2 linked regions of the Struthio camelus genome follow. The protein of the gene in region 1 purifies or fractionates together with the protein of each later gene. This does not show direct contact. Links are inferred from orthologs where the notes say so. Each region holds a gene or a part of one and is shown on either strand. Other genes may lie near its edges. The genes, in order: SCFD2 and STX18.

Region 1 (7,124 bases):
GGGGGCGGCGTGTCCCTCTGCGCCCCATCGGCCCCTCGGCGGAGCTGGCCGGCGGCGGGCGCTTGCCGCGAGGGCTGCGGGGGCCCGGCGCCGGCAGCAGGGCTGGACCCAACCCGCGCGCAGCCGGGGCAGCTGCCCGGGGACGAGCGACGGCGCGGCACGGGCGTGCGGCGCTGCCGCCTCTCCTGGCTGCCAGCTCTGGGGCCCCTGCGGCTGGAGGTAACGTTGCGGGGTTTAACAACGCCTTACACGCTTTTCCTCCGCTAATCATCCGATTTATTTGGGTTTTTTTCCCAAGCTCCGGTAAGAATTCGCACATTCGCAGTGTGCCGCGACGAAAAAGTTACAGTGGACTTAGGCGTTCCACCGAGAAATTGCTCCATCTTAAAAGCAGCGGGAAGTAGCAAGCCATTTCTAGTGATGGATTGTTCTCTTTTCATCTGTGAATGTTGCATCAACAACTGTTAAGATTCATTATGAAATATTAAGTACCAAAAACTCTAAAAAACAGGTTTTGGCCAGTTGTAGGTACAAATGGAGTCTTCACTGTCTTAGGATGCTTGTGAAAACTGAGAAAGTACCCCTGCCTCACAGGAGGCCCACCTGAGAAAAATCGGATTAGAGCGCTTGACTGTATTATACCACAACACTGGGGGCAGGGGAGCTTTTTCTTCAAACTGTCTGCGTGGTAGACCTTGTTTTAAAGTTTTACCTGTGGCGTAACATTTCACTGAAGTTCACGTGAATAAACCTTACCTTCTCAGAAGGGATTTTTTCTCCTGAAGTAAATTTTAAATATTTCAACGCCATGTACAGATCATGAAAGATATGCTACAATTGAGTAGGATTTTTATCACACAATTCCCTTTTTTTTGTTTATACATGAGTGGAGTCAACAAAGGTGTTTTTGCTCTAAAACATTTGTAGGCATTTGTTTGTCATAAAGCAAATTTATACAATCATACCTCTTGCAGGGCATCAATATTTTTATTTATTTCCATTCTCGTTTTTTTTTAATTTTTTTTATTTATTTCCATTCTCGTTTTTACTTGACCATTTCACAGTCTTCTGACCTTAGGCTACATTAGAGGAAGCAGAACTGTCTATATTTTGTTATTTTTGATTGCGCAGACACAAGGAAGAAGAAAGAAAGTAGTTTTGTGGAAAACACCACAAATACTGAGAGAAATCAGGAGTAGGTGCAGAACACAGTCTCTTTTCAAGTGTGTCGTACAGATTGACAAGGTGTTTTTGCTGATAGAATACCTTTAAATGGTCATCACATCAAACCGCTGGCCACGTAACGAAGTTCATCTGAAAAAAATCTCCCAAGCAGCTTGAATCTAGTGGAAGCCCACACAAAACAAGGCTAAGGCCCGATGACAGCTGCCATTCCCCCCAACACTACTTTGGCCCACGTTGGGCAGAAGAGATGCTCTGACCCCATTTTCCCCTTTGCTTCCAGAAACAGAATCTTGGGCTAGATGGTCTTTTAACTTCTACCCTAAAACGTCAGGAAATCCCATCAGCCCCATCATTTCCATATATGCCTCTGGAAAGGACTTTGCAGTTTCTTCCTGCTGTTACGCAGGAGTTATGTTGGAGTCTGAAATACAGGCTTCTCTGAAGGTCCCAAGTAACTAACAGCTTTGGCTGAGGAAAGAAGAAGGGTCTTTTGTAAGCTGCATGTAAATCTTGACTCATGGGTTACCCTACAGAAACACAAAACAGGATTTCAAGTGTACAGGAAATCTTTAATACTGTTTTTTGCACAAAAGCTTAAGATTTGTACATAGGATAAAATAAGCTATAAAACCAACTAATATAAGTTTACTTTGTAATTTAACAGTGGTTAAATGCTTTACACTGATTGACCTAATTTTGTCTTCGGGCTAGTAGTCTTTCTTTTTTTTTTCCAAAACTGGCATATGCAGAAATAGTTGCAATCTATACTGTATTTATTAAGTAAAAAAGCTATTTATTTCCTTGAAAGAGCATCTGCTGCTTTGACTGTATAGCTGAAAACAATTAAATTAAAACTTTTTAAAACAAGACAATATCTCTCCAAAGTTGGACAAGCCATAACATATCTAGCTTCTGTCTGCCACACTCAGAAATAAAGCAAAACCTCAGAGATATTTAGAGATAATTCTACTTGTGTATAAGCCCAGGGGCTCAGCGGTTAACAGTCACCAGTCCTTTCTCGGCATTCATTTTTCAAATCAAAATAGTCCGGAAAGCTATGATCTTACTTTTTTTTAGCATAATCAAGTTTTATACCCTAAGGTTAAAATAACAGATCGGGGTTGGAACAGCCCAAAGTAGGGATTTGGAAGAGGCATCAGATGTAGGAATGTGCATGGGTTAGACAGGAACAACGGAATTTAATTTCACTAGTGGAAGCCTAATCCACATTAGTTATGTTTTTCAGCATTCTGAAACCACCTGAACCAGCAAGAAACCTAAGAAGACCAGCTGAGATAGCGAATGGAGTAATTAATCAGTTATCTTTTTGTTATGGCTGACAACCCCACTAAACTTCAGAAAAAAATATCCTCCTAACTCTGTGGTTAAGGAGGTTGCCCGAGTGAAATACTATGTGGAGCACTGATCTGCAAGAGCGTGAACTGTCCAGTCTCTGGGGAGAGGAAACTTAACTGCAGATGCACATTATTGCATTTTTCTAGTTAGATTTGAAATTCATTTTGTTATCAACAGCTTCTTAAAGGAGAAATAGATTAAATTAATTTGCCAAATGCTTCCAACTGTATATAATAAAAGCTGAATGTAATAAAAGAGAATATTTCTTGTTGCTAGGTCATGAATCACTGGATTAGTTAATACTAATACAAGAAATACAGAATTCCAGGACAGGGAAGGGTGATGGGAAGTTTCGGATTTCCAGTGCTGTATGTTTAAAAAAAGCACCAAAATGGTGGTTCTCTCACTGTAACAACGATACTGACCCAGCACAATAGTTATCCTGACCTAAATGGCGCACTGAATTGTCCTTTTAACATTTACCAGTAGTAGCAAGGCTGAAGAGGTTTCTAGCCTTATCAGAAAGTATGTTAGGCACAACTAAATTGTCAGTCAGTGCTTAGACATCCTTCCTGGTTCTGGCTAGGACTACAGGCTGCAGTATAGTTCTTAATGTAAACTGTAGACTACAGAAAACCATGATCTCACAAACAGCTTACATTGACAGAATTTGGCACTGCCACCAAAAGAAGGTGGGCAGGGGGCTACCCTCTCACCTCTCAGGGATTTACTGCTTTTGCTATCAGGGTGTTCATGTGGCCAAGTAACAAACCTAGACCTGAGAAGTGGCTGAAGTTAAGTCTTGGGGAAGACTGAAAACACCCCCCCCCCCGAAGAGATAACAAAACCACTGAATGGATTGGTGAATAGTTTTTCGGGAGATGTCCAGGCTAAAGCAGCTCCTCCTCTCCCGTCTGGCCGTGACCGCTCCTTCCTGTTCATGTGCCATTCCCTTGGCTGGGCCTTCACAGTGGTGGCTGTGCAAAAGGACTACACCGGGGCAACGGCTTACTGTAAAATAGCCTGTTTACTGGGAGGGTTTGTTTGTTTGTTTGTTCCTTTGATCTCCACCTCAGGCCGGTCTGTCCCTCCGTCTGTCTGCGCGCTCGTACACACGCTTCTTAACTGCCTAGGAGACGCTTTACATTCTCACAGCCCGAGCCCGGCAGTTTGTTTCCCGCGAGCCGCCCCCCTCGGAGGACAAGGCCGCGCCTCCCTCACCCTCCTCCTCCTCCTCCTCCCTGCCGGCCGCTGCCCGGGGCAGGCGAGCGGGGTGACGACACCGCCGGGGCCGTTACCACAGCAGCGCGCGAGGTGGGAGAGGAGGGGGGCCGCGAGCCCCCGGCTACGGGCGCTGCCCCGCCCCCACCCGCCGCCAGCCAATGCGGGGCCGCCACGTCGTCCGGCGGCGCCGGGCGCTGCGCGGCGGCGGCACGTGTGCAGTGTTGTGGCTGTCAGCGCTGCCCGCCCGCCGCCCCGCCATGGCGGGTCCCGCCGCCGCCGACGTGCGGGCCGCCTGCCGGCAGGCCTGGGAGCCCGTGCTCGCCCGCGCGCCGCAGGCCGTCGTCTTCCTGGACGCGGCGGCCGCCGAGGCGCTGCACTGGGGCGGCGGCGGCGCGGGCCGGCTGCTGGCGGCGGGGGCGCTGGCCGTGCGGGCGCTGGCGGGGCCGGCGGCGGGGGCGGCCCGCGCCGTGTTCGTGGTGAGCGGGGCGCTGCGGGGCCGGGCGGCGGCCGCCGTGCGCGGCGTGCTGGGCCAGGGCGCCGTGCGGCACTGCGCGCTGGTGGCGGCCGGCGAGGCGGAGGGCGGCGGGCGGGCCGAGCTGGAGGAGACGCTGCGGCGGTGGATGGGCGAGGGCGGCCGCGCCGAGGTGGTGCTGCAGGCCGCGCCGCTGCTGGCGCCCGTCTCGGCCGAGCTGTGCCTGGCGCCCGCCCTGGCGCCGCTCTTCCCGCCGCTGCCCCGCCAGCGGGACCGCGGCGGCGGGCTCAGCCCCCGGCCTGGCCCCGGCCCCGGGGAGCTGGGCCTGGCCGCCCTGCCCGCCGAGCTGCGGGCGGCCGTGCGCGCCCTCGTGGGCGGCCTCGACGCCCTCTTCGCCGCCCTGGGCCTAAGGGAGGAGAGCTTCGCCGTGGGGACCCTCAGCAGGGTCGTGGCCGCCGAGCTGGCGAGCTACGCCCCGGCCAGGAACAGGAGGAAAACAGCCCTCCACAGGGCCTCGGTCGTCTTCGTGGACAGGACGCTGGACCTTGCAGGTAAGAAACCCACCACCGGCGAGGGCTGGCAACCCCCCGGGCCCCGGCTGCTCGGTGGGGAGCTTTTCAGATGGCTGCGGGAGGCCACGAGGCCTGTGGGCAAGTGTAATGCCTTGGCTGCCGTGGTTGCTCTGCAGCACATCGTGGAAACCAAGAGTGAAGTCTCTGCTGGAAATGCACGGGGCAGGTGGGGGAAAGTTATTTCTGCCCTTTCTGCTTTGCAGTGAGCTGGAGACCTTAGTTGTGCCCAAGTGTCAGTTCCAAGGTGTGAAGGAAACGTTCTGCAGGGTTCAGTTCACGCTCTGTGGATTACTGTGAACTATTTCTCTATGTATCATGCTTACCACCCTTTACAGTGTGTGTATGTGAACAGGTGTGCCTCTGTATATGCACTAAATAGACAGCTCTCAGTGTGTATATATGTGTATATGCATATTATACCCTAAAGCATTATAGTTGCCCTTTGAGTGATGCAGTTGCACATGGCTGGTACCTTACTTTAACTCGAGAACAGTATGCATCAGTGAGAACAATACGGAATTGTTTATACAACATCCTTTCTGGGTAGCAAAAGTGTAAGCATGAACCATATGCTAATTTTAATAGTGCCAATTAATAATAATGCAAAAGTTGTGAAATTTAGAGGGTGATTCAATAGTCCACTTAGAAACTAGTAGAAGGAGGATGACTCGAATAGTAATCAACTTGTAAGCTAATCCTGTGATCTGATGTCTTATAAGTTGATAGAATGTGATATCAAAAGGACAGAAAGGGAAAGTGTGATTGAGCAAGGCACCAGCAAGGTGCAGGGTCAGTGACCTGGAAGAAGTTTGTATCAGACTCTCATTTATGGAATAACCATCTTCTGGAGAGAAGAGTGAACTCGGAGAATAATTGATACAGGAGCTGCTGCGTTCACCCTTGCTCCGTCATACTGTTGGTGTTATTACAGAACGTGTAATGCTCCATTTGCATTCTGCATGGTCAGTAATTCAGGTCATGACTTTACCATGTGACCCATTGCAAGTGCACGGCACTATGTCACACCTGCAACACACCAGTTTCTGATAGATGTTTCCCTCCCTGCTTGATTTTGTTCTTGCGTAACTTCACACTGCTGTGAAGCTCCTAGCTGTCAATGATGTGCTGAAAAGCAGCTGTGAAACCGGCTGTTTAATGCTGTGTTATGGTTTGGGAAAGCTACTGAGAAGGTTACAGGAGAGTAGACTCGGGTAAAGAACCTTGTAATGGAATTGTGATGGCAGTGCCTGTTTGGGGTGGCAACTAATGCAACTGAGCAAAGATTCACGTGCTCGGGAGGCAGGAAAGAAAAAAGACAGGAAAATGAACTGCTATTTTGGTGGTAAGGAATTGTATGACAAAGACTGTTGAGGGGAGATGAGGGGATGTAATCGGTACTGGGCTTGAATCTGTGAAATCTCGGATGTTGCCTTTCAGGAAAAGGAGGTTGCTGGGAGAATGAACCAGGACTGTGGTGGGGTAGCTTTGTAGGTGATACATTGAAACTCTTGAAAAACTGAAGTAAGGATGAGAAACAGAAGCATTCATGTTTGCAAATATATTCTCTCCAGTGTCTATAACTGACTTCAAAATCCCTTCATATAACCATTCTTTTGGTGCCAGCAAACGTCTTTAGAACTCCATTGATGGTTTCACTGAAGCCTTCATTTGCTTTGAATTGCTTGGACATGGCAGCAGGCTCATGCCATCAGGAGGAGTCCAAACTCAAGGGACAGAAATCTACTAGGTCTCAAAGATAAAGCCCTATATGGATGTGAACTTGATGCCATGTGATGAAATTTGTTTCACTGTTTTGCTAGAAATCAGGCAGTAAAAAGTGCATAAAAAGCAGCATTTAAGTTATAAAATCAGTCATCAGGAGATGGGAAATGGCAGGATTAAATTGTGTGGGAAACCTTAATCTCCTGGGCACGTGCAGCCTTTGATATAGTCTTTCCCCTACTGCTCTGCCTGGGAGTGAATGAGTGTTGTCTGTAGGATTTCAGCCTTACACACTGTAAAAGCTAAGGCTTCCTGTTTTCAGGTTTGGCACTGGCAACTGGGCCGGTGGATTTCTCAAGCTGTGATACATATTTGTGGTCTGCAGAGTAAAAATAGAGCTGTATTGTTCATGTAACAACCAGTTGCAGGGGAAAGTCTTTGAGGTGGACTTTCTGATTTGGGGCTCCTTTAAAACAACTTCTTAAATTGCCTCCCTCTGAAGATGAAGGATTTTGGATGTGATTTGTTGATATCTTACTGATACCTAAATCTTGCCCAACATGTGGGCTGCGGATATGAGAAATAGTTAGGTA
Region 2 (7,812 bases), about 15 Mb from region 1:
ATAAAACCTTGTCTATAAGGTTTTTTTTTTTTTTATGGAGATATACAGTTTTCTTTCTCATTTGGAATTTCAACTGCTTTTTACATACCACAGTTTAAGGGCAGGGACAGTGTTTCAATTTACATGATGAATAATTGGTCTCCTGAACATTCTTCCTGCATACAGAAGCCAGCTCTTCAAAGTTTCCATAGTCTAAGTTTAATTGCAGTGAACACACACATGCACGCACATCTCCTTTGATGATGTAGTTTGGATAGGATATACCACATTAGGAGTGACAGAATGATTTCATATATAATGTACATAAGAATTAAATATGCCTCTGAAAAATATGAAAATCAAGTTACCATTTTTTCTTGTATTTATATTGTAAACTTCATATATACTAAAATACTTTAAGGCAAAAAGGCGTTCTAAATGAGGAGTTTCTATTTTTTTTCGCTTTTGGTGTGAATACTAATGGTCTAGTTTCAGAAGGAATAACAGAACCTTGATGTTACTGCCAATTGGACCAGTTTCTAGTAGTGTGTATTTGTTGCCATGGACGATACAACTTGCTTATAAGCATGCTGTTCAGATCCATTCTTTCCACAGCACTTCCTATCACTGCATACAGTGAACGTACTTTTCTTGTACAGTTTGCACTCTTTTGCAAACCTATTTTTAAACACTGGAGAAGATTTCTTTACACATCCACAGATTTGCTGTATTTACTTTGAATTTAAGCCAATCAGCACGCATGCTGTTGGCTCAGAAGTTTAAACAATCATCAAATACAGCTTCTCCTCTTTTGATTTGTCGTGATTAAAAATGTGCACTGTAAGCGAAATTGCCTTCCTTTTGATATTTGGTTCAGTTTGTAACCTTATCATCACATAAAGAAAGTTACTGTTTTTATGCCAGAAAAAATAGAGAACATATAAAATGCACTGGGTATAGTTTTCTGCGGTCAGGGCCAAGTTAGGACCTTAGTAGCTGGACTGCATTGGAAGGAAAGAAGTGCAGGAGCTTTATCCCTTCCATTTACCTCTCATGTAAAAGGAACTTAACTAATCATGAAGTTACCTGTCTCTGAGCAGAGATGAACCCATCAGCCCCTCTTGAATGGACGTATTGATTGATAACTGCAGCAAAGCTTTGATCTCCTTTTGACTGGCAGGTTTGCCCGAAGCATTTTACTGGACATGCCTGTTAAGCAGGTACACCAAGACCTGGTGATCATCATGCAGTCCTCATGCTGCGTACAAGGCCATTATACTTTGCAAACTCCTATCTCTTCCTCTTCCCAGCATGCTTCTGCTGAGGCATGACTGAGTGCCCAGTGCGTGCATTTTTACACATTTACCTGCAGCACTTATGGTGGGACTGTAGACCTTTGTGTGTGTTTTGGAAATTTACTCCAACCTTAAAAATCTTAGATTTCCAGGTTAGCCTTTTTAGCAATTACAGGAAGCACCAGCATGTACTATTGAAACCTATCTGCTCCAAAGTTAGCTTTATACTTTCAAAACAAGGTGGCTGTGGAAGTGCAAGTAACTACTGAGTAGATGCAGTTACTGTATACAGGAAGCTAGGATCAAGTTCAAATAAAAGCTCTGGGCACCAGTTCTTAGCAACTGATTTTAAAGTAGTTTGTAATCTTCAAAGCTATCTATTTATCTCTACAGCAGAGGCCCTGGGTATTATATACCTAATGAGTTAGACCATTTGAGCAACCTTCTTTCAGGTTAAAAAGGTATTTTAACTTTTTCCTTTACCAGATTAGTTGTTCAGTCCATTTCTGACAGATGAGATCAGCTGTAAGGAATGTTAATACTGTGTTTCTTTTCAAAAATGCATTACTATTTATTTCCTTGTGCCTGAGTGAAAGTTTTAAGACTGTATAAGTACGAGAATAGCCTGTATAATATTACTGTTACTGTTTTGGGGTGTTTTTCAGGAACTGCTGGTCACATGCACACTGTTGTTTGTGGACATAAAGCCCAAATAAATAAGTAAAAGTAGAAATAAAGACACAGTCTTGGTCCTGAAGAGTTTACAGCCAACATCTTGATCTGATAAAAGGGTTATGCACTTAACCGTATGTGATATGTGTGGCTCTATTGAACTCAGTGGTATTCATAGTATCACAGAGATTAAGTATGTGTATAAGTCTTTGCAAAGTTGGGAGGGAAATTATACTGTGTTTTTTTAGAATATACTTTGCCTTAATGAACTGCAGTTTCTTTTTTTAATCCAAAATCATATACAATATTTTAATTATTTATAAGTACCTAAATTTCATTAGAAAATGAACAAACTATAAGATGACAGGCACCAGTAAGCTGTTGTTTCTAAAACCAGGAAGGTAAGATGAAGATTCAAGTTTCAAAATGACTTTGATATTCTTACAGTTTAAATGTACAAAAGCAACATTCTAAAATCAAAAAAACAAACATTCTTATCCAATGGGCACTTAAACAAATGGCAATATTTCAAGTCAGTGTAAATGTTAACTTCATTGAACACTGGAACACGGTATACAGCCGAGTATGCACAAAAACACAATTTAATTCTGCCACTTACATTTTCAGGACCATATTACTTTGGGCCAAGCTGTGAAGCTCTTATTACTGTTGGCAAGAAGTTACCTGTGCAAATGTCCGTGAAGTAAGGTGTTTGTGAAGTGAGGCATTAGTACTCTAAGAATGGCAGAATCAAAGCATCTGAAAATTATCCTAACACATAGCAATGGTAAACTTACATGTCAGAATTGTCTTCAGTGAGTTTCAGATTAGGCATGTCTGTGATCAGTGTGAGACACTCCTGGAATTTTAAGTGTGCTTGCTTTGCTTTTGGTAATGCAAAGTAGAAATAAGTAATTTCAGGACATATACCTGAAAGTATCTAATTTAAATGTAAATTCCATGCTTTATTAAATACGTACTTTGCTAAAGCATCTCCATACTGTATTTCTTAATCTTAAAAGAGCAAAGGTGTTTGGCTCTAGTTTTACTCAAATACTATTGGCATTCTTGGAATGAAAAGTCTAGTCTCCTTAGTTGTCCATTTTGTTAATATCTATCTTTAATATGTTTTCACTATAAATCCAGCACCGAGGACAGTGACTTGAAGTGTATATTCTTTTAATTAGAAATACATATCCATACTGCCATAAAAACACAATTTAGATTAGAACAATATTAACAAAGTATGAATAAATACTAATCACAATGTAACTGTGAAGGATTCACTAATCTACAGCTCAGACTGAACTGAAGAGAACTGAACTGAAAGCAGGGTACTAAATAATATTGGAAGAAAGCCTGTTACTATGGAGCAAGTAGGAAAAATAAGCGTAGTTCATTAAGTTCCAGTTTGCTGTGGAAAGGCAAAATTTTGAAGGTCTGTTCTGTGGAGTCTGTGTGAGGAAATGTGCTTCTGGTCAGTTTGAGCTAAGTTAAAAAGTACATAGCATCTGCTGAATCCCGGGGCGCTGTGGCATACATGTAACACCACCAGCGGCTGTGTGGTCAAAAGTTTCCCCCTCTGAGCCACGCGATTTCCTTTCAAGTAGCTTGTCTACCTGTGGACAGAACACGGTAATGAATCTGTCTCAGTAATAATAGTAGCAAAGGTTATTTCACAAAGCTTTCTTCAGAATCAGTTAATGTGAATTGTAATTCACAGTGTGAGATATCTTTTGGGTACCAACATGACATTGTCCCAGTGTCAAGTGGTGTCAGACCTCATGGACCCTGAAGATCAGCTTCCGCCCAGAGAAGAAATCTTTGTTGCACATCCTAGGTGTGTAACAAGGATACTTTATTTATACAGTTTGTGAATGAATAGTCAAAATACATACAGATATGACTACTTCCTCCAGAAATCTCACACCAGTACCAGTCCCAGATCCCAGTGCAAATCTGCTGTTGTGTATTAATCAACTAATTAACCTGTCTTTCCATGCACAAGCTATAAACTTGGAAAACTATGTATGTCTAACAGCTCCACCTGGTGACACCTACCGTGACACCCCAGCTAGGTGGTCTAGGCTGCAACGCTTTGTTGGAATGACTTTTTTTTTTTTCAAACGTGCCATAGCTACTTTAGCCAAATCTCCTTGAAAATGCAGTTGATAAGAAGTATTTCACTTGCTAAACTGGAGTACTGTACGCGCAGAGAACGAAGCGTGTGCTGGTGGGGGTGTGTGCGTGTACTTGGGGGGTTCGGGCAGTGTCCCTGTACTGCCAAAGCTTTCAGGCGTAGACAGGTCTTTAAAGGGAGGTAATTTTGTAACAGCCAGGTGTTTTCCTTTCATTCAAAACCCTGGAAACCCCAGGTAGCTGCTGGGTTAAAAAAAAAAAAAAACCCTGGGAGACCGAATTATGTTCTTAAAGTTATATGTGGTTGCGGCCGAAGGAGCCGGAGAGCAGGGATTCAAAGGCAGGGCCCTGCCAGGCAGCGCAGCTGCCCATCCGCTGCAAGTGCCAAGACAAATGAAATCAGGTTGAACTGCCCCCTTCCCCCCGCTCCGGTGGCGAAACGCAGCTCGTGTTTCGCTCTGCAAACGCTGCCATTCGCTAGGAGGAGGCAGCAGCCAGGCTGCCGCCTCGCCGCTAAGCCCCGGCCCGGCCCGGCCCGGCCCGCCGCCTGCCCACGCGCCGCAGCCGGAAGCGCCGGCGCTCTGCGGCGGGGCGGAACGCGCGCGCCGGTGCCGCGTTGCGCGGGGAAGGCGGCGCGGGGGCACCGGCCGCCGGCTGGCGCGGCGGGGGGGGGCGGGGCGCGGCGCGGCGCCATGGCCGTCGACATCACGCTGCTCTTCAAGGCCAGCGTGAAGACGGTGAAGACCCGCAACAAGGCGCTGGGGGTGGCGGCGGCCGGCGACAGCGCCAGGGATGAGCTGCTCAAGCGCGGCGCGGCCCGCTCCAAGAGCGACTTCTCCAGCCGGGCCCGTGAGGTGGTGAGTGCGGCGGCGCCCTGCGCCTCCCCTCCCCCCCCCCCCGGGGAGGAGGGGGCCCAGGCGTCCGGGGCGGGGGGCATCGGCGGCCCCGCGCGGGCCGCGGCTGGGGGGCGCCTGCCCTGGCCGCGGAGAGGCGGAGGAGCTTGTCGAGGGCGGCGGCGGCGGCTTCCCGCGGGGCGCGCCCGCCTCTCCTGCGCCGTGGGCCGCCGCCGCCGCCGCCTCGGGAGGGGCTGCAGTGTATGTGTGTATATGTGTATGTACATATATGCGTGCTCTCTTCAGGTTTTTCTTCTTGTTGCGCAGTGTGGCTGTGCAGTGCCATTTCTAGATGAGCCATGTGTAAAAAAAAGAGAGAGGGAAAAAAAACCTAATCAGAACATTTTAAGAGTTGAAAAGCTAAGCACTGAGGAATTGAGGGCTTACGGAGCTAAACTGACCAGGAACGATAACATCCGTAATCAGCAGTAGTGCTGTAAAAGCAAATTTCTTGTAGATTGTTTTCCTCCGTACAGAGCAAATGGTAGGGAAAAAGTTTTGATGTCTCAGTGGGATTTGAGTAATGCACCTGGGTTAAGGCACTGGACCAAACTTTGCAATTCAAACTAACAGGAAAAGGCTGTTCAGGGCACTGTCTGAGAAAACTCTTACAGAAAATGACATATAATGGTGTAAAAACCACGTCATGATGCACGTGCAAGTGTAGGACTACACCACGAGTACACAGGCAGTCTTGTTTCTGACGTTTACTGAGTTCTGAATGGTTTAGTTTTCAAGGACAGAGATTAGTGTTAAATTTAGGTCTTACTTAATTATTGTTTTCCAATTTCAGAGATAGTGTTTTATAACTAATGTGTTTTATAACACTTAAAGTTTTATTTTAAGTCGTTCAGTGATTGCTTTGAGGCTTAAGAAGGGTGACAACTTGGGTATATGTTAAATGAACATATAGTTATTAATCCCCTATTAAAAGTTGATTTAAGTGACTTGCTTAATATTGGCTATGAGATCTGTGGTAGGGATCTATCTGTAGGGATAAGACCAGTCTGTAAAACTACGTTCAAGATCTTTGATCATGAGATGTACTTTTTTTTGGGGGGGCATCTGCTGATTTAGCTAAAATTATTTCAAATTCTGCAGCCTTAGAGTGAACAGACTGCTTTAGACTTGCAGTAGAACAGGGCAACCTTTACACGATTTGTGTGTATGTGAATTCCTAGAATTTTTAAAAAGGATTGAAATTTTATCACATGGCATCATATTGACATTTATCTACATCATCAACATGACTGCAACTTTTAGTCTGCTATTCAGAACTCCAGCGCTTGGGCTAATGCTGGCAGCAGGTTGTTATCCTCTAAGGGTTTAGCACTAGACAGTGTCCAGATGTTCTGCCCAAGTGTTTTGCAGTTATTTGCTGAGGCAGAGCAAGGGAGAAATTTGAGAATTGTCGGCTTCCATCCTAGATATTCGTATAGCCACAGCCTTGTATTCGCTTCCTCCAAAGCTTTAACCCTCTGCTCCGTTGCTTCCAGTACTGTCTGTGTCTGCGCTTTGGTTCCTTATCTGCAGTTGCATTCGCTTCAGCCTCTCTCCATATTTCTAGGTTTCTGATCATAGAAGTAGTCTGTATTTCAAATAATTTATAGCCTCAGATTGGATCCGTGCCCGCTTCTTCTTCCTCACCCCTCTCTTCTCTGTCTTCCCTTCCTGCCACCAATGCTCCCTTGAACTTGCTGCCTCCCAGGTTTCGTCGTCTTTCTCAAGTTCTGTTCGTACTCAGGCCCAGCCTCACCTTCATCCTCTCCTCGCTGCCCAGCCATAGTCCTGTGCTGTGATGACGTGCTGTAGGAGTATACTTTTTCTGCTACCTTATTCCTTTTTTGCCCCTATTCACATTTATTATTGCTTGTCTTCTGTTATCTGAGCTCCTTGTCCTTTCTTAGTTTCCTAGGAGCACTGTCCAGGCAATAGAAAGGGCAAAGATATGGCTAAAAGCATCTGTTTAATTACAGCAGCTTGTTAAGGGTGAAGTAAACAGTTAATGCCACAGTGGATGAACTGAGCAGTCTTTTTGAGGGGAAGAGGAGAATGAGTTTAACTGGTGGTAGTCGCATAAACGATGACTTGGAGAAAAAGGTAAGGCCAAAAATGTGTTGCTGAGCACCTTTGAACGTGATTCCTGTTAACTGCTGCTGAGTGAGTACGAGAGAGTGCAATAGATTGGGCCTGGTCTGTCTCTGCTCCTGTAGTTTAGCTGTATTTGTGACAGTGGAGCCAACAACCTACCAGACCGGAGAAGGATTTATGACAGCTTTTTAGGCCTTCTCTAAGATCTAATTCTAATGGGGAAACGCAGCATATAAACTACAGTGAAAGGGGAGGTTTTGTAGTAAAATTGATCATAATTTTGAGTGCTTCCTTCAGCAAAATACAATTTGACTTGAATATGTATTTTTCGAAAGCTTCTTTCAAATACTTTGTTATAGCCTTGCTTGTTATAGCCTAGCAGCAGTTTAGCTGCTTCTGCCAAGATTAAGCAATTTAACTTGCAAGTGTAATCTCTGATATACACATTAATTCTTTAACAGGTTTCTAGTTTTAAAAGCCCCCAAAAATCCAGCGAATCCTTCTCTGCCTACATACAGTTACTTATTTTTTTTTTTTAAATCTGGAGAACATATCAAACTCTTATTTTAACTACTGTTATCTTTAAAACTCGTCCCAAAAAATGACGTTCAGAACCCACACAGAATAACATGGGAGACCCTGAATAATTTATACGTAGTCGGAGCTCTTGTTATGCTGCATTTGGTTGAGTAATAGTTGAAGATCTCCATTTGACAATGAAGTATGGAAATGTTGAAATATTT

The links.
Region 2: the proteins of SCFD2 (region 1) and STX18 purify together in Homo sapiens (co-immunoprecipitation; 3 studies listed by BioGRID and IntAct, counting the BioPlex papers as one, with this or other methods). This does not show direct contact. The link is inferred for Struthio camelus from reciprocal best matches to the Homo sapiens genes SCFD2 and STX18.

What each region holds. Positions count from the first base shown.
Region 1 is NC_090945.1:57,348,285-57,355,408, forward strand, and holds the start of SCFD2 (sec1 family domain-containing protein 2), read left to right. Parts: upstream 1-4,022; coding exon 4,023-4,788; intron 4,789-7,124. UniProt on the Homo sapiens protein: May be involved in protein transport.
Region 2 is NC_090945.1:72,822,470-72,830,281, reverse strand, and holds the start of STX18 (syntaxin-18), read left to right. Parts: upstream 1-4,728; 5' UTR 4,729-4,777; coding exon 4,778-4,942; intron 4,943-7,812. UniProt on the Homo sapiens protein: Syntaxin that may be involved in targeting and fusion of Golgi-derived retrograde transport vesicles with the ER.